Nothobranchius furzeri: one gene and its partners. The protein of the gene in region 3 purifies or fractionates together with the protein of the main gene of each other region. This does not show direct contact. Links are inferred from orthologs where the notes say so. Each region holds a gene or a part of one and is shown on either strand. Other genes may lie near its edges.

Region 1 (6,376 bases), on a different chromosome or scaffold from region 3:
CTGGAAGTAATTACTTCAAAGGATTAATTTCAGTACAACTACTGTCGCGTTTTACAGTCAATCATGGATTTGCAAGTTTTTAACGTTTGACGTTACTTTACAATTTTGGCTTCTGTACTTTGTGCTTTTTTGAGACTGCTCCTGTTGCCTTATGAAATTGTGTGTGTCTATGTATATATAAATATATATATATATATATATATATATATATATATATATATATATATAAATATATATATATATATATATATGTGTATGTATATGTATATATATATACACACATATATATACACACACATACATAGACCACTGGGCTAATAGTTTACTCCTTTTATCCAAAATCCATATTGCACATCTTAAAAAATAATAATTTTGCAAAGTTTCAAGTCTGATTCCCAACATGATATGCGCAAGCAGCTGCCTTATAAAAGGCTCAATACCAAATCAGAGGTCTGAAAACCAGCAAATGTCAACTTGAAAACAAAGTATGAAGGCACATATTAACACAGTAGCCAAATACATATGCACACACACACACATACACATTTATATATATATATATATATATATATATATATATATATATATATATATATATATGTGTGTGTGTGTGTGTGTGTGTGTGTGTGTGTGTGTGTGTGTGTGTGTGTGTGTGTGTGTGTGTGTATATATATATAAATATATATAGAAAACCAAAGGAAGAGATTCTCAGTGTTTTGAATTTAAACTGCTTTTTCCAATAAAAATGGGTGAAACCTATTCACCGATCTACACAAAGTCACGTTGTCGTTCGACCTCCACGGGGGAACGATCTGGTTGTTCTACTGTACTAGAGACAGAGAATTGCCATCTGCTTTGCTCGCGCACATGTGGTCCACGGGATTTGGGATGAAGAGGTTGTAGATTTGAGGTTGTTATTCCACCTTTTCTCTGCCTCTGTTCTTCTGTTACGAAGCACAGTCCTGACTCCTCCGTCGTCGTTTAATGCACATTTCACCGTTCATGCTGCTCCTCCTCTTCGTCTTCCCCTTCTTTTCAGAGAATAAGATAAACAAATACAAAAAATCAAAAATAATTAAAGTTTTATGTTTCCAAAATTTTAGTTTCAAACACCTTTAATAGCATAAATATTCTGATAACATTTCTTATTGCTGCATTTTCACTTAAATGTTTAATCTTGCCACTAGAGGGCAGTATAATGTTTAACAAAGCATTCACAGAAAGGCTGGACAAATTCAGATTGAAATCAAAACAATTAAATATGTGTGTATATATATATATATATATATATATATATATATATATATATATATATATATATATATATATATATACATATAGTGCAGCCAGAATTTATACATTTCAGATCATTATTGTTATTTCAACTGGAAGCATGATTTAATAGACTAATCATAACTTTCTTTTTTTTCTTCTGCTTCTTCTTTTAAAGTAGTTAAAGGTGTGGGTCACTCGTTTAATCAATACATTTGTAGTGGTCTTTAGTAGGAATGAATGCCTTGTAAGTCGTTCTCATTGGGGGCAATGCTAATTTATTATCTCCACAAATAGCACAAGACTGTAGGAGTTCTGCTGTGTGGTGGAGTTGCTAATGCTGAAGTTAGCTTAAACTAGCCGAGACGTTCTCTGCTATTTCCTGGATGCTAAAGCAACAACAGCCTTCCATGTCGTGAGTCAAAGACGGAGTCCATGAATGCTAATTGATGTAATGTGAAGTAGATCTGTCAGGCTTTTCAAATCCTAACGTTTTACCATCTATTTTCTATCAGAAGCTACTGCACAAGATTAGTGTAGGAGACTATCTTCATGTTAAGCCTGCATGAAAAACTCAGAGTGATCGATTCTAATCAGAAATAATCGTTAAAAAATGGTTTTCGCTGTTCCACAACTTTAAATTTGAAATTAGCAGACCGAGTGTGAGCCCATCCAAGTAAGATTCTTTAAATGTTTGGTTTCGTTCAGTTTTAAAAATAAGTTATGAAAAATTATTTGAATTACAATTTTTAAACATCAGTTTCAACGGCAACACTCAGTCAGTGTTGGCTCCTATTACGTTAGGAGTCAGTTAAGACTTAAAAGGTTTTAAACGTTAGTGGGAAAGTGTAACTAAACAAAGGAAAGCAAAGGGAAGGGAAAAATATGTCTGAGTGAGTGTTTACAGACCTTTGAGTCACGCTCTGCAAATTTCTGGAACATGTTAGCATAGATCATTTTCTCCTGGGCTTGATGTTCCTTCATTTTGTTCTGGCATTTGGAAATTTGACCACGAGCTGCTCGATTCGACGGGTTGACTTCCAGCACTCTTTGAAAGTCCAACAAGGCTAGGTTGTACTCGTTGCGGAGGAGCCGGGCCTCCCCACGGCGATACAGAGCCTTCTCATTGCTCGCATCCTGTTCAATTACCTTAAACACACAAACACACAGTATGAGAAGGAACTCAGCTGCTGCAGGAGGTGGTGATCTAATCATCAGGGTCACGCAGCTCACCTTGTTACAGTTGTCCACCACTTGTGAGAACTCCTTTAGCCGAAGGAAACACAACGCTAAATTAAGATGAGCCGTCATAACGTAGTCCTGGATCTTCTTGTATTGCTCCATTCCAGAGCCACACTCCAACTCCAGCCAGGAAATGATGCGCTGGTACTGGATGACCGCCTGGTGGTACCGTCCTGCCTGATTATAGATTTTCAAAATAAGTTAGGATTATTTAGATGAGAAGCAGAATGATTCATTTGAACACAATCACAGATACGTTACCTTAACATACTGATTCCCTTTGCTTTTCACCGCAGCAGTCAATTCCAGCTTTTCACTCAAGTCCATTTCCCAGGACTCTTTAGCCTTTAAAATAAAACAGCAAACATTAATTTAGGGTTTTGATGTTTGTAGGTAGTAGGTTTGATATGTGCTTAAATGTGTCTAAAATGAGACTTGAACCCAAAATACCATGCATATGTTTTGTATTGTATCTGGTAAATAAAGGTTTTCTTTGTTCAATCAAAGAAAATGGAAACTCACCCTAGTGAAGTCTTTAAGAGTAACTTCATATGCAATTTCTTTGTCTGGTCCAATTTTGAACTCCGGTTTACCTTCGTTTCCAAAGCCATACCTGTAAAAAGAAAAGCATGTCAATAATGCTTAAGCATTAAAGGAGTCGATTACTTGTTTAATCAATACAACTAGCATAAATAACGAGCTTCGTCTGTTACGCTGCATGCTAGAAGAGTGGTGGACTTCAGGCATTTTAGCAAATGAGTCAGAGATGAGTCCTTTAACCTGTTTTACTGATGCACAAGAATCCACAGTTCTTATACAACACCTCTACCTCAGATTTAACCTGTAAATACTAAGTGGAAAATGTTGCAGTTTCACAAAAAAAAAAAATCTCGAAGTCCGAACAATAGCTGTGTTCTCGTTACTCCTGAACTCTTCAATCAAACATACTCTCTCCCTGGGAAGCATTAAGGAAAGCTTCAGATTTCCATTGAAGAAATCAAAAACTATATGCTTTCCTACCAATAGGCATTTTGTTGCATTCTTAAATTTTATTTTGCAGTACTTAAACCTTATTGGAAATGCAAAAGTGTTTCTTTTCACAAAATTTAGTTACTTCGATGAGAAAAAAAAACATATCAATTATTAATCTGCAAACAACTTTGTGACGTCGCTATAAAAAACATTTTCATTTTGCAGAAACAGCTGCTGAAATCCTTTGTAAATGGCATGAGATGAAAACAACAAACTAAAATTATTATTATTGTATGACAGATTCAAGCTGTGGTTAATGAAAGCCCCCTCAGAATGACTCATGCAAATGACACAGATGGCATTTTTGAAGGATTTGTAAGAAACTTACTTTGGTTTTAACTGAAGTAAACAGCACTCTCCTTTTTGCATCTTGTCCATAGCTCGGTCCACCCCCAAAGGAATGCCTTTATCTTCACCTTGACCAACAGTAAAGCTAACGTCTCGGCAGTCAAACAACCGGTCCCCACATCGTCCCTCCACGTGAACTGCAGGACAACAAGATGCAATTTAACCTCCGATTTATGTTTTATATCAAACCAAAACAATTATGCCTTTCAAACTAATTGTGTCACTACCATCGACATTTGCTCCATCGTTGGGGTTACTGTAACCGTCACCTTTGACCTTTATTCTCCTGATGATGCCGCCATCCTCTGACAGCACCTCTCCTTCAAAGTTAAGCAGCTCCATCTGTTAGAAAAACAAAAATTCTTTATAGATCATAAAGCTAAAGCAGAAAACAAAATATGTGCAGAATTCAACACATGTAGGAGGAAATAATAAAAAAGTGAGAGACGTGTTAATAAAAAATTGTGATATAATGATGTCTGCTGGAGAAGTGTGAAACTGGATGTGCATCGTTTATGCACTGAAACCCGACAGAATGTGTGCACGAACACAGCAAAAATCCTGCAAGTTACTTTCGTTATTTTTTCTTGCATTTTTTAGTTTAAATGAAATTTTAAAAGATGCTTATTTGACTGTTGCTGAATCTGTTATTTTTACTAATGCAAAATCAGATAAACAGTATTTTTGAGCATATCCTTGACAAAAAGAAGCAGGGCCTGCGGTGTTGCTAAGCTACTTCTTCCTAAGTATTGAAATGTCAAATTATCTCTAAATTTGCTGGACTGTGATAAAAGTTTGTATCCATTTTAAAATGTCACCACAACTTTCGAACTTCATCCCCAGAGCTGAGCACTCTTGCTGCTGTGGTTTTGCAAAAACAGATTAATTAGTCCAGTTTAGCTAATTTAGTTTTCTCTGAGAAAAATTACCTAAGAGGCCTTTTTCTAGTCATTCCTTACGCTGATATTTAATTTTCTCTTTGTTTATGCCACAATTTACAGATTGTTTAAACCTTAAAGAGTATGATATGCTTTAGTTTATGTCTCTAAATATAAATATGTGACCAATCAGGCTGCACCGCTAGACATGTAAATTTTCCCTTTGCAATACATTATAATAAGGCCAAATTCAAAAGCTTAATTACACAAATGTCTGAAAACCAGAGAGGAATGTTGGGAATGAGTGGCACTCAGACAATACGTGCTGTTTTGTAGGCAGAAGGATTAAAGGAGACAAACTTCTTAATTTTCTATCAGTTTAATCTTCAAATTAACAAGACGTGCTTCTGAATCAGCAGATTCCCTCACATTAATGAAGAATTAATGCATGGCACAAACGCACTGACCTCAAACACCACTGAGGAGTTTGGAGGAATTTTGTCAGGATTTCCAGCAGATCCATAAGCGTATTCCGGCTTACAGAGCAGCGTGCACACCTCACCTCTCCGCATGGACAATACGCCGATGTCCCATGCCTTCAGGACTTGTCCTGTCAGAAAATAAGGAGCCAGAAAGTAAGGAGCCATTATTTTCTCTGCCTGGCAGGAATACTGAGAATATAAAGGCACAAATATCAGAAATATCCATGTTTGTAAAATTCTGAGCAACTTGAAAAACAAGGAAAAGTTCTTTTTTCCATTTATCAGCTTATCTAATATACAGCTCACTGTGTGAAGCCTGCATGTCTTTTTGATACAACTGAGCTCTTGTGTTTTACAGCAAGGCATGAAGACAGCTACCTTTGCCCACATTGAAGCAAAAAGGTTCTTTGCGCTGTCGGCTGCAGTCAAATTTCTTCCCAGAGAGCAGTTTTCCAGTGTAGTGTAAGGTGACTTTGTCCCCGATCATTGGACGGTCCCCATTGTCCCCCTGACGCTTCACAACCTGGCCACAGAGACAGTTTTCCATTTGGCACAGAAATCTAACACTGTAACACCAAAAGAGGAACAATTTTAATTGCGTAGCGGGCATAAATAACGACTGAACACCTTGATAACTCCTTGGTCTTTGTTTGGCGTTACGTCGATGCCCTTTGCAGTAAACACAGCTGCTGCTGCTGACTGGTCGTCCATGTCTAAAAACCGATCTGTGGTCATTTTTGTTCTACGAGCTTCACACTATCCCGCTGAAAAAGATACAGAAACACAAACCAGTTTGTTATTCTAAGCTCCTGTGAGTTAACAGGGTTTTTTTTATTCATTTCACAGAATGTTTTCACGTAAAAATGATCATGCACCTTACCCTTCCTGATACAACTGGGCTAGGCTAACGGCTAGTCCAGGCACAGCCATTAACAACAGACCACCAAACAGCACCAATCTCAAAAGTTTATGCTATTTTATAAAGCTTTACACTGACATTAATTATGAGTTACGCAATTATTTCAGCAGAAATATGAAGATATTCCTGCAAAGTGCTAGATTTAATGAAACTGTAGATATACACTCATAAATAATAACAGAAGGTTTAATAGTAATATTTAC
Region 2 (7,031 bases), on a different chromosome or scaffold from region 3:
TTTTATTTATCGAACCGATGTTAAAAAATGACTACCATCGGCCGATACCGATATTGATGCTGATATATTGTCCATCCCTAATTTCTTTGTTATTCACAAATGTGTGGTTTTTATTTGTTTAGTAAGAAGTTGCATTTCACACCTCTGGACCACATTGTTTTGTTTTCTTTAAGTGATCGCGAAAGTTAGCAATGAGAGTAAGCTACTGAAAGTTGCTGTGCAGAACTGTAAATCACCTTGAAGTTTGCCAGAGGCTCCTTGGACTCTCTTCCAGCTCAAAACAATACCACATTTCTGTAAACGTAGGACAATTACTAAAATAACATAATAAACACACACACACCATTAACAGTTAACAAAAATTATGCAAGCAGCATTTCTATATATGGATATTCAAAAGGTATGTGTAGTTTACACATATTTTCTAATTCTTACCGCCAGCAACTGTCTGATGAGCATGTCTGAAGCTTTCTCTGAAATGTTCCCCACAAACACGGTGGTGATAGGTCCACTGCTCTCTTCATCTTTGGCTCGCAGAGCAGAATAGTCTTTCTTTGGCATGGGAGGCTTACTGAGGACTGGAACAGACTGGACCATGACTGCAGGGGTGGGGGCCATGATGCCCATGTGGACAGGGATCATAGGAGCTGCAGCACATGCAACAAAAAAAAGTTGTTAAGACTGTGAATATGAAATTAATTAAATTATTACAAATAATGAGCATCTAAGAGGTGTCATGTTGCGTAATTTACGGGAGCCTGGTTGGTACTTACCTGTGGGGAAGCCAGCATACTGAGGAGGAATCCCAGGTGGGGGCAACAGCGGTCGATTTAAATGAGGAGGGAAGGACATTTTGAGGGTGAATGTGGCCTAAAGAAGACACATTAAAGGCCATTAGTGTTGTTTGCATAAGGTAAAAACGTCCAAACAGCTCAAGTAAAAACACAGAGGGAGCGAACATTAGTGTATCCACAATGAGGAAACACTGAAGGTCTCGGTGGTGAACATTACAAATCGATAGTGACTTTTATTTGACTTTGCTGGAACGTTAACTAAACTTAGCCAAACTTTGTGAGGTGCCATTCGCTAATTAGAAGTAACAAAGTCCAAACTTCTTAAAAATATTAACATCTCAACAATATTAAGACTAACCACACACAACAGCTAAGTACGCTAAAGCTAGCAATGAGCACGTTACCCGATATAACACCGGCACAGCTAAAATGCTAAAGTAACCTAGCCCGAGCAGATGTTAATTTATAATAAAACACTGACTTTCCCAAGGCTAAACATGAGCTCGAAGTAAATATAAAAGCCTCTACATATACCTACCACTCAACCAGGTGGCGTATGATGAGATAAAATCCACTAAAAATGTTAATGATAGTGAATTAATAGCTAACGTTCTGGACGCCTGATTAGCACGCTAGCTGGTCGCGGGCCCTCGAAAAGTTTGACGCACGCGCTTTAGGAGCAAGAGTACTGGCGCGCTTGTTTTGTGCACCAGAGTGTATACACTGAACGGGGCTTAATGTGAATTCGCAAAATGAACCCTTTTCAGGAAACGAAACTTCTGCTAACAGGGTTCGATCAGATTACCTAACTAACCTTGGAAGACCTAATGCGCGGTAGTAACTAAATGAATAAAAAAGGTTGAATAATAATAGCATTGAAATTAAGTTACACCAAAAAAGCGGTCCGCATTTTTTTTATTAAAACGATTTGTTTCTAATCGGTTTAATTTACAAAACATCTGATCACATAAAAAAACAGCATTGTGATTTTCCTACTCGTTTTAATCAATTAGAGGATAAAGCCATCATATGATTATTTCAATGTTAAACTTCTTTTTAAATGTTTTTTAAAAGAGTACATAAAAATTCTGTGTACATTATTGTTAAAATGGTCATTCTTACCAATTCTGAAATTGTAACTAATAAATAACATATTCTGTATGCAAAGTATGACTGTACTTCTGTTATTTATCACTGAGGTTACTATCTAAATTTATAAATGTGTCTTCTGTAGTTAAACTACATAATAGAAAGCTGAATCATAATCATTTGTGCATCTCTTGCATTTGATGGGTCTAACTGCGTACATTTATTCCACTCTAATCCACTTGACAACAGTGACTTCTTCCCCTTACACTGTACTAAAAACTCAATTCCAAAGTCGTGATCAACATGACAAATATAGTATTACATTTATGTATAGCAGTCCATCTTCCACTGGTGTTCTATGTCCATAAGAAAATCTGTAATTCATATAATAACAACCATTAGTTCATTTGACAATATAAAGCATATATTCTCATGATTCAGTACGGAAAAGGGTTGAGTTGATGGTTGTTAAGGCGTTTTTGCTGTAGGAACATTTTGTGACAGATGATACGTCGGGAGAGGAAAGGGGGAGATCTGTGACGTCACTTTAAGGCGGGGCTTTCATGGAAAGTGCTAGAAGCAGGCTAGAAGAAACGAAGCACACCTTCTCGTGTTTGAAATATTCATCCGTCGGAGTAAAAAGACCCACAGTCTATGTCGAATTTCAGGGAAACTAGACGCCACTTGAGATTTGAACTTGACGCGTGGTTTTAGTGTTATGCGAATCATTTCTCTATGTTGTCGCTAGATGGGATGATTGAGATCAAAAAACATCGCCTCTCAGTGCATGGTTTGCTGTAGCTCAACCTACCACAAGATGGCGACAACGTTACACTAAGGTCCGACTTCGTATACATTTTCTTTACTTAGATTGCATAATTGGCATTTAAACCCTTTTTACCCAACAAAACGTGAATAATAGATTATTCTTTTCCAGTGAGGAAGCATACAATGTGTGTTTAGTTCTGGCTGCGGTTTTACATAAAAGTGATTGCTTCAGGTTGTAGCTCGTGAACTGCGGATGGATACGACTGCACACTGCGACCCACGTGTATAAAGACTGGTCTGGTGCCGAAAAGTAGTTCCTTTCCTTTTTCTTCAGTCAGGGAGCGCAAGGGACTACACTTTTGCTGCATTTTATTCAAGAAAAAGTCAACGAAATTACCAAGGTGCGTACATTAACGGGTCCGTAGCTCGTGTCAGACATCCTTACCTTTATAAGTTTGTTAAAATATCATCGGTATGTATGTGTTTAACGAACATTATTAGTTAATGAAAATCCAGAGGTTAATATGGTGGTCGAATAAGTGTTTCGTGGAAGACAGACGCCTAGTACGTCGGCTGATGTTTTCATTTTCCTCTCGAGAGACTACTATTTGCTTATGTTTCCGAGCATCGTAGTGATGCTCTTGAGCAGCGGGAATGCGGCACCGTGATGTCAGGCAGGTGTGGTGACGGTGACTCCGCTGGATCGAGTTCTCGGCCTGATTAAATCCGTTATAAACCCACGTTAAACCGGTACACTGAGTTTAATGTGTGCGTAATAAGGCCTGGTTACCAGCCACGAGGGGTAGTGTTCATTTGGTCGTTACGTAATTGAACGCGGTTTCAATTAACCTCCACGTTTTACTGAAACTATCACATGGAGGCTAAAACAAGTACGTTTGTAGTATTTATGGAAGTCGTCGTCGCATTGTTTATCTATTAAAGTGACTTGAGTTGATCCGCCTTAATCGTTCGCCAGCACGTGTTTGCTGCGTCCATTGTCTAGTAGAAGCCATGTTTGTTAACTGACACTTCCGCCCTTATGTAGCAGACTGCTGCAGCGGCCATCCAACTTAATGAAGCCACTTGACGAAATCGCGTTACTTTGAAACTATCTTAAGTTCTGTTTCACTTTCATTTACTGAAGTGACTTTGTTATATTTTCAGATGCCTGAAGAAATGCACCAAGAGGAGGAGGTTGAGACCTTTGCCTTCCAGGCAGAGATCGCTCAGCTGATGTCCCTGATCATCAACACCTTCTACTCCAACAAAGAGATCTTCCTTAGGGAGTTGATCTCAAACGCTTCTGATGTGAGTCTGCTGAAGCTTCAGTATTCTTCTGACTTTAAGGAAGAAACTAACCGCTATTCCCTGTTTTCAGGCTCTGGACAAAATCCGCTATGAAAGCTTGACTGACCCCTCAAAACTGGACACTGGCAAAGATCTGAAAATTGACATCATTCCCAACAAAGCTGACCGGACTTTGACCCTGATTGACACCGGGATTGGCATGACCAAAGCTGACCTTATTAACAACCTGGGCACCATCGCCAAGTCGGGCACAAAGGCCTTCATGGAGGCCCTCCAGGTACTACGCATCCCATAATGGCCTGCACAGGATCTTAAGAGACTGACTGATCTTGTGAAGCTAAATTTGTTTTATTCCTCCAGGCTGGTGCTGACATCTCAATGATTGGTCAGTTCGGTGTGGGTTTTTACTCTGCTTATCTTGTTGCTGAGAAAGTGGTCGTCATCACCAAACACAATGATGATGAGCAGTACGCCTGGGAGTCATCTGCTGGAGGTTCCTTCACAGTCAAGGTTGACAGCGGTGTGTAATTCTAACCATCACCAGTGACGTCTGAGTGTGCACTACTTGCTTACTCTAGTTTATTTTAGCTTTTCTGAAAATTCCTCAAATGTTTTCAGGCGAGCCCATTGGCCGTGGAACTAAGATCATTCTGCACCTGAAGGAGGACCAGACAGAGTATGTGGAGGACAAGAGGGTCAAGGAGATCGTTAAGAAGCACTCTCAATTCATTGGCTACCCCATCACCTTGTTTGTAAGTGCTTAAAAGTACGTTTTAAAAATTTTAAGTCTTGGGCAGATTTCTAAAGCTTTTATGTCGCAGGTGGAGAAGGAGCGCGACAAGGAGATTAGTGACGACGAGGCAGAGGAGGAAAAGACCGAGAAAGAGGAGAAAGAAGAAGAAGCTGAAGACAAGCCCAAGATTGAAGATGTGGGTTCAGATGATGAGGAGGATTCCAAAGACAAGGACAAGAAGAAGAAGAAAAAGATCAAGGAGAAGTACATTGATCAGGAGGAGCTGAACAAGACCAAGCCCATCTGGACCAGGAACCCCGATGACATCACAAATGAAGAATATGGTGAATTCTACAAGAGTCTAACAAATGACTGGGAGGATCACCTGGCTGTCAAGGTACACGAGTTTCCGACAAAGTTTTAACCCTGCGGGCTGATTTTTTTTCTAATGCTTTATTTTCTTTCAGCACTTCTCTGTGGAAGGCCAGCTGGAGTTCAGAGCCCTGCTCTTTATTCCTCGCCGTGCACCCTTTGACCTCTTCGAGAACAAGAAAAAGAAGAACAACATCAAGCTGTACGTCAGGCGGGTCTTCATCATGGACAACTGTGAGGAGCTCATTCCTGAGTATCTGAGTAAGTTCAGCTGCATTTTCCACTGTGGTCTGAAATGATTCCACAGACTCTTTAAATGGCTAATGCATTTAAAATTACTTTGTCCACTCAAGACTTCATCCGTGGTGTTGTGGACTCTGAGGACCTGCCCCTCAACATCTCCAGAGAAATGCTGCAGCAAAGCAAGATCCTGAAGGTTATTCGCAAAAACATAGTCAAGAAGTGCTTGGAGCTGTTTGCAGAACTGTCGGAGGACAAAGACAACTACAAGAAATTCTACGAGGCTTTCTCAAAGAACATGAAGGTATTGAAACTAAATGGTGGATTCATCTGAATTGGCTTGGTGTGTTTTATAAACTGAGGGACGCATTGCTGTATTTTGCATTTAAAGATCATGTTTGGTTGCTTTTTTCCTCAGCTGGGCATACATGAGGACTCTCAGAACCGCAAGAAGCTGTCTGAGCTTTTGCGCTACCACAGCTCCCAGTCTGGTGATGAGATGACCTCCTTGACTGAGTACCTCACCCGCATGAAGGAAAACCAGAAGTCGATCTACTACATTACTGGTACTAACACACACTATCTGGAAACCACACCTCCCCGTAGACTTGTTCATCCTTGCTGAGGATCTGGTTTCTCTGCAGGTGAGAGCAAAGATCAGGTGGCCAACTCCGCCTTCGTCGAGCGTGTCCGCAAACGTGGCTTTGAGGTGCTGTACATGACAGAGCCCATTGATGAGTACTGCGTCCAGCAGCTGAAGGAGTTCGATGGCAAGACCCTGGTCTCTGTCACCAAGGAGGGTCTAGAGCTGCCTGAAGATGAGGATGAGAAGAAAAAGATGGAGGAGGACAAAGCCAAATATGAGAACCTCTGCAAGCTCATGAAGGAGATCCTCGACAAAAAAGTGGAGAAGGTGTGTGTTTTGGGTTTCCTTTCCCTGTAGGCTTAAGTTTTCATGAAGGGTTTCCTTGTGGTCCAACATGGTGTAAACCTTTGTGCTTAATTTCCTCCAGGTGACTGTGTCCAACAGGCTGGTGTCTTCCCCTTGCTGCATTGTGACAAGCACGTATGGCTGGACGGCAAACATGGAGAGGATCATGAAGGCCCAGGCACTCAGGGACAACTCCACCATGGGTTACATGATGGCCAAGAAGCACTTGGAAATCAACCCTGACCATCCAATCATGGAGACTCTGAGGCAGAAGGCTGAGGCTGACAAGAACGACAAAGCAGTGAAAGACCTTGTTGTCCTGCTCTTTGAGACGGCCCTGCTTTCTTCAGGCTTCTCTCTCGATGATCCACAGACTCATTCCAACCGTATCTACAGGATGATCAAACTTGGCCTTGGTAGGAACTCATCAGATTAGCTGTTGGTGGGTTTTTATTTCTCTCCTTTCTAATGTGTGCTTATGGGGTTTTTTTTTTTTTTTTTTTTTTTTTTTTTTTTTAGGTATTGATGATGATGACATTCCAACAGAAGAGACCACCACCACCACATCTGTTCCAGAAGAGATGCCACCTCTTGAAGGTGATGAAGATGCTTCACGAATGGAAGAGGTTGATTAAACGGACTTTACCACACTTCAAAACACTTAAAACCCTGTTTTACCAGTAGTTTATTCCCTAAAAGTGCAGTAACTGTAAATTAAATCATTCCTGTGGTGTGGAGGACCAGAGTTGCTGTTACTGGAACCTTACACTGCTATTCCTTCGAAAAACTTTTATTT
Region 3 (6,376 bases):
AAATATTGTTATGTTTGCAATTAAAGTGAAAACACAAAGTTGATGTTTCCCAGTGCTACCTGCAGTTCACACAGTCAGTGTGTTTACAAGTGCATCTAAGTCAATCTAGGTTGATCTAAAGTAATAACTGACAGCTTTACAGGTTTACATGTACGTTAGAAAACCCTCAAATGAAGTTCATTCCACTCCGGTACAGTAGGTGGCGACATGCCACATTCTTCCAGTTAGCTTATAGCAACACAGATCGAAAACAAAACAAATATTAATTTACTTTTCTTGCTAGTGTGTGTATATGAAATTGTATGTATTTGAATAGTATGAAATTGATTAAATTATGATCAAAAAGCTTTAAAACAACAACATATTTAATTCAAGGTAAAATATATATATATAAAAATACAAGCTTTTACTTTGGGATCATATATTTGTAAGTGACTCCAGAGCAGTCAGCGCCTCCCCAGTCATGAACCTCGCAACACGTCACTGTTACACGTGTTATTTTGGGTGAATATTTTTAAAAGACCGCTTCCACGGACTCGTCACTTCCGGAGGTTACCAGTATCAGCTCAACGTAGCCATTCACATGCAGATTCAGTCGCTTTCCTACTGCATTATCAGGTTGCTTCAGCTTGATTAGAACCAGTTCGCCTTCAGCAAAACTGACATGTTTACATGTATTTAAAATAAACAACGTCAGTCTATTTAGGGAAAATGTTTGGTTTTTTGATGCGCATGTTGCCATCTAGGTCAGAATCTCATATGTCCCAGCCTGGATTCAGACCCGGGCCCTCTGAGTGCAAGTCGGGCATTTTGCTAGTGAAGCTACCGCTTTGACACCTATTATTACCTGAAAATGTTTCTATTACCAAAAATGGTGTTAAAACGACGATGGCACTCCAATAAATGTTTGATATTTTAAAATCTGAACCATTATTACTATATTTTTTGAGAAGACTATTTCCAGAATGAAAGTTGAAACTTCTTTTCTGGTTGTGAATTCCACGTCTTTCGCAGCCTTGCCATTGGACCAATGTTTGCTAGGTGTGTCTGATTTCTGTTAAACAAACACATTTATGTGTGGAGTTTGGCAGATAACAACTGAGCAGCTTACAAGTGAAACTCGCTAAGACATTTACCATTCTCCCGATTTCAGTAATGGCAGCGCTCGACTGAACTTGAGGGGAAGCAGTGCGGGCTACAGCGGCATTGCTCTACGTTGTCCATATATGATACTGCACATCCTGCCTTTGTGACAACATCAAAGCCAGAACTCAAGATCTTGTTTTTGAGTGTGCTTGCTTGTGGGGTGCACGTGGGCTGGTTGAAGAAGCCAAGAGTAATAAAACGATCCAATGTTAAATGTCAGCTTCCCGGCCAGTGAAATATCACTAGGAATTATATTATGAACATTTTTCCAAGTTGAAAAGTGGAAAAGCGAAAATTTCAGGTGATGACTCCTTTAAATGTAAGGAATAATATACATTTACTTTTAATGTAAAAACATTTAACAATTACATTCAGGCGACTGAGTTTAGTGGAACTAGCTGAAATAACTTGGTTAAGTAAATTCAACATTTCATTTCTAGAGTGTGTTAATGAGTAAAATGCAAAATCTGCCTTTCCTGGGCTTCCTATTGTACTGTATACAGTAAAAATTAAGACCCTAATAAAGGTTTGTAGAAACTGGTAGATATAAAAGCTCCGTAAAACCCGAAGACACGGTTTTATCAGACTTCAAAGGAGCATAAAAGACTGACGTCTACGCCCACAAGCACTACAGGTGAAGACAGGCTTTTGAATTTAGCGTTCAGAAAATCAAAAATGACACGGGGCAATGATGTTTGTTCCATGGGCCTTCAACAGTTTAGGCTAAGCAGAAAAGAGCCTTTCAAAATAAGAGGAGAATCAGTGTCTTCAATTAGATATTCTCTCCATGTTGTTCGACAAACACAGAAGTAACCGGGTTTATTTTCTGTGGGCTGTAAAATGTGTCCTTTGCACGTAACAAGCTGGAGATTAGATAAGATGCCGGTCGTGTTGAGAGGTCAGAAAATTGTTTACTAATAACTCCCAAAGATAGATTTATGCTCAGACACAAACACATTTCCTCTTATGTCTGCTTTCAGATTGATTTGGTTTTTTTTTATGGATTCAGAGAAAAACAAAGAAAAACTTGGATAGAAATACCTCTTTTTTCTTCAGGATGATTTTCTTCTGCAACACTTTGACGGCGTAGAATTTGTTGTCGGCTTTGAGCTTGGCGAGCAGGACCTGCATGATGGTTTTCTTGTTAGTGGTTTGTTTAGTAAATATTCAGTACCAGCATCACATCACACTGCTGTCAGGACATTTCAGCAAAGCAAAGCATGCGGAAAGGTGATCGGAGGAAACAGCTGATACTGAGAAAAAAGAGCTACGTTGATTAAAAGAAAAAAGTACTATGAAAGCAACCATGAAGAGTTAACTTAATACATAAAACACAATTAGGTTTGGAAGACAAGTAGTTGCTAAAGGATTAGCAACAGTGTTTAATAAAATACTACATCTTGGGAAATTATTGGGGAAAATGTTGGATCAGTTCTTGTTTTGTCCTAATAAACAATCAGATAATAAATCAAAGATTATCTACATTTTATTTTGTTATTATGTCTTTCTTTTGGCTTTCCAATAAGCACACCAGTGAGCTTGGGCCTCCTGAACAAACAGTCCACAATCAGCTGAGAAGAATAAGTCCCTATTTTTATAGGAAGCTAAATATTTCCATTAGAAGTTAAGGGAATCATGCGTGTGCTGCGTAAAGGTTTCTACAATTCAGTTATAACATGCATGTGATTAGAGAAGCTAAGATTTCAGTATGATGGCGAAAACAAACCTAAATCCAAATCAACACCATTCCTTGCAGGACCTTTGGTTAAAGGTTCAGCAGGACAACAAACATGACTATAGAGTCTTAAATAATTAAAATGTTAAAAAACTTTTGTAGGACTGACTGATGTTGAGGAAAACCATAAAACGTCTCTGTGAGTGGCACAGCTAATGATTAATAAAGCACACATATTGATAAAGGTAGTTTATTCTGTTATTTTCTCCCTTCTGTCACACAAGGTCAGCACAGAAAAGAATTACAGCATAGTAAATGATTAAACTACAAAAACTATTCATTTATAAGAGGCTTGTCGTTTAATCAGGAACAAATAAACTAAGAAACCTGCACAGAACTAGAGGGTTAACGAGAAACCTGCTGACATCTAAACAGGAGATGCAGTCATCAATAAAGAGATAAATAAGTAGTTGTTTCAGTTTTACCTTTCCAAAGGTCCCTTTACCAATGACAGCCAAGAAGTCAAAGTCTGTTGGTCTGGCACTGTACAGAGATAGGAGAAATGTGAGTAAATGTGGTTCATTTGCAGACAAAAAGACATAAAATTTGGAATTAAATGTGCTTAGGAACTACACTGTAAAACTGAAAAGTTGAATTTGCTTAACCAAATTATGTCACCTGATTCCGCTAGACGTAGTTGCTTAAATGTAAAGAGTAATATACACTGTTAAACTTTTTTCGTTAAATGTAAATGTATATTTGTCTTTACATTTATAACTGCAATAGCAAATATGGAAAATAAATTACCTTAAAACATTTTCACGCCTTGTTCTAATGTAGTATAGCTATGACTATCTTGTGGAGATTAAAAAATATGAAAAAAATTAATTAAGTAGTTGTCTTGCATTTGTCCTAAAACCTCCACCAATAACACATTTCAGACCGAAAGCAACCACTGGACCATCCGGTTGTTGGACTTGCTCAACTGCCACACTTGGGTCCTCCACACATTTGCATATTTAGCAACAAAACACCCCTGATGTGAGAGGTTTGTGTCTCAATAATATAAGAGTTGGACAAACAGCCGGCTAATACCACTTTAACTTCAGGACAAACTACCAGTCTCAAAATGAAAAACGTCATTTGAAATCACGGACAACAAAAGACGTTTGGACCTAGAAAACGGTACCTGGTGTTTAGCACTATCTCGTTTCCTCCAGTTTCGGAAGAAGTGCCTCAGGGAAGATACCCAAGAGGAAAGGGTGAGTGTTCCATGACCGTGTTTGAATTCAAAACCTAGCTTGTTTGCAGATTTGCTATAACACCTTTAAGTAACGAGGTTTAGTGGAGCCAGTTGACAACTTGGTAAATTCAACATTTCCTTTCTTAGAGTGTACTATATGTAGTATTTATATACAAGTACAAAAAGAGACTGTAGATCTAGATCACTGTCTGTACAACGTTTGGTTTGGTTTGCCAAATAGAAGAAAGATTGTTATTATAATGCACAACTAAAGGACACTGAGGTGAACTAGTCATACACGTGGTCCAAGGTTAAGTTAAAGTCCTCGAGGTCATGAAAGAATCCGTTCACAGCTAGACGTCTCTCACTTCAGTCAGTGTTAAGTTTAATAAATGTCCACGGCCGCCCCTCTACTGTTTGTTAAAGATTATCTTAAGAAGTCAGAAGGTTCATGGAAAAGGGGTTTTGTAAACAGATGATACAAAAGCTGAACTTCCTAAAGACAAAAAGAAAAAATATCACTGCATTCCAGGACAAGACCCTCGGCAGAGAAGATTTTAATGGATCACTAAATTCTGATGAATACAAAAAACTTGTTCATAAACCGAGATTCGATAAAAGGTGACTCACGGAGCCGGACAACAGCCCTGAAGGTAAGACAGGAATTCTATTAGGTCAAAACTTTTTTATGGAAGGACCTGTTTTCCTGCAATATTAGGATCTGTTCTTTTACCGGTAAAGGGCCGAAAACCCCAGATGTTCTATTCAAACTGTAACTTCTGTGACGTTCCAAACAACATTTATGCAGAAATGTTTACACGTGGGCTAATCCATCTGAGTAAACATCAGCCTGAGCACAACTACTGACTGTGGGTTTGCTGAAGGTCCCAAATTGACATCGTCATGAGAAGAAGGGGATGCTGATCGCAACTGGAAAAAAAACACAAGATTACTTAAAAGCCAACAGGAAATACACACGTATGTCATTGACACTGATCATAAACTGCTTCTATTAAATAAGAAACACTTATTAACTTCTAATCCTCTGCATTTAAGGCATCCATGCATCCTTGACTCGCAGATTAACTAGAATAGCTAAATTTTGATATTACATTTGTTAATAACTATAAAATTCCACATGATGTGAAAATGGCAGTGCTGGAAAGGTTTATAACTAAAGGTTGCATCAGCCACTTTAACATTTATGAGATTGATGATCTTTAAAACGTCAGCAAAGAACATTGGTGTTGCCTCCATTCAGACTAGCCGTTAGCTCATCAGTCTTCTAGAACGTGTGCTTTTTTTCTGAACAGAAGTCAACTGATGCTGTCCAAACTAGGCCAAATAATAGTTATTTATACATTTTACAACGAAAATCACTTCAAAATGTCATGAAAGTGAACAAATCAGGCTGCAGAGTTTTAAGACAAAAAAGGGAACAAACACTCACATTACAGTGTGCCATGGTTCTTAAATTCTGGTCTCTCTGAAGACCCACCAGGAACATCAGTGTTTGACCAACCTGTGGGAGGAGAGCAGACATTTAGGACTCAAACATGTCCTACAGTCGTTTCCTTATTTAGCCGATTTCTTCTTGCTGCGTTTCATTTTGGCAAAATCAGCTGCTGACTGCGGTATTTCACACCCCAAGGATCCAAATGATCGGTTTCCGTGGAATGAAATGCTGACAAAACAATGAGGTGCATTGTGTGAGTAATAGATAAACGTGCAAATGCATTGTTCTCATTGTGGTCAGTGTTTATAAAGTCCCAGTAATGGTACTGACTCTCTGAAGACAAAAACTAGACACCCCCAAAAATAATAATTATCGTGTGTGTGTGTGTGTGTGTGTGTGTGTGTGTGTGTATGCATGTGTGTAAAGCGAAACGGAAATGAACATGTTTATATTTAAAATATTGTTTCTTTTTCATCTTTACTGAAACACAAGATCACATGTTTACGTCACACACACACACACACACACACACACACACACACACACACACACACACACACACACACACACACACACACACACACACACACACACACACACACACACACACACACACACACACACACACACACACACACACACACACACACACACAACAAAAGCCACACTAATGATGTTTTTTTCCTGAGGAAGTCCAGCTCTGTTTATCTGTTCTAAAGCAGACATGCCGATACACATGATCATGACATCATCTGTGTTGTGAAAGCCCAAATTTTTTGTCATTTATAAAACATACTACATTTTATATTTAATCCACTTTTAGACTATTGTTTCAAATTTGCATGAACCCTCTCAG

The links.
Region 1: the proteins of sgk2a (region 3) and fkbp5 purify together in Homo sapiens (affinity purification with mass spectrometry; 3 studies listed by BioGRID and IntAct, with this or other methods). This does not show direct contact. The link is inferred for Nothobranchius furzeri from reciprocal best matches to the Homo sapiens genes SGK2 and FKBP5.
Region 2: the proteins of sgk2a (region 3) and hsp90ab1 purify together in Homo sapiens (affinity purification with mass spectrometry; 3 studies listed by BioGRID and IntAct, with this or other methods). This does not show direct contact. The link is inferred for Nothobranchius furzeri from reciprocal best matches to the Homo sapiens genes SGK2 and HSP90AB1.

The regions. Positions count from the first base shown.
Region 1 is NC_091743.1:66,794,364-66,800,739, forward strand, and holds the end of fkbp5 (peptidyl-prolyl cis-trans isomerase FKBP5), read right to left. Parts: intron 6,019-6,376; 5' UTR 5,990-6,018; coding exon 5,882-5,989; intron 5,778-5,881; coding exon 5,633-5,777; intron 5,383-5,632; coding exon 5,240-5,382; intron 4,237-5,239; coding exon 4,122-4,236; intron 4,032-4,121; coding exon 3,875-4,031; intron 3,128-3,874; coding exon 3,037-3,127; intron 2,860-3,036; coding exon 2,776-2,859; intron 2,692-2,775; coding exon 2,506-2,691; intron 2,422-2,505; coding exon 2,182-2,421; intron 1,032-2,181; coding exon 948-1,031; 3' UTR 716-947; downstream 1-715. UniProt on the Homo sapiens protein: Immunophilin protein with PPIase and co-chaperone activities. Component of unligated steroid receptors heterocomplexes through interaction with heat-shock protein 90 (HSP90).
Region 2 is NC_091742.1:8,414,406-8,421,436, reverse strand, and holds the start of hsp90ab1 (heat shock protein HSP 90-beta), read left to right. Parts: upstream 1-2,911; 5' UTR 2,912-3,052; intron 3,053-3,815; coding exon 3,816-3,959; intron 3,960-4,029; coding exon 4,030-4,236; intron 4,237-4,319; coding exon 4,320-4,479; intron 4,480-4,577; coding exon 4,578-4,711; intron 4,712-4,780; coding exon 4,781-5,089; intron 5,090-5,159; coding exon 5,160-5,325; intron 5,326-5,417; coding exon 5,418-5,608; intron 5,609-5,722; coding exon 5,723-5,870; intron 5,871-5,948; coding exon 5,949-6,217; intron 6,218-6,317; coding exon 6,318-6,651; intron 6,652-6,754; coding exon 6,755-6,870; 3' UTR 6,871-7,031. Other genes in the region: rbm25b (RNA-binding protein 25b), read right to left, coding at 237-294, 436-647, 774-852. UniProt on the Homo sapiens protein: Molecular chaperone that promotes the maturation, structural maintenance and proper regulation of specific target proteins involved for instance in cell cycle control and signal transduction. Undergoes a functional cycle linked to its ATPase activity.
Region 3 is NC_091755.1:32,919,012-32,925,387, reverse strand, and holds part of sgk2a (serine/threonine-protein kinase Sgk2), read right to left. Parts: intron 5,587-6,376; 5' UTR 5,572-5,586; coding exon 5,515-5,571; intron 4,995-5,514; coding exon 4,933-4,994; intron 3,365-4,932; coding exon 3,307-3,364; intron 2,272-3,306; coding exon 2,188-2,271; intron 1-2,187. UniProt on the Homo sapiens protein: Serine/threonine-protein kinase which is involved in the regulation of a wide variety of ion channels, membrane transporters, cell growth, survival and proliferation.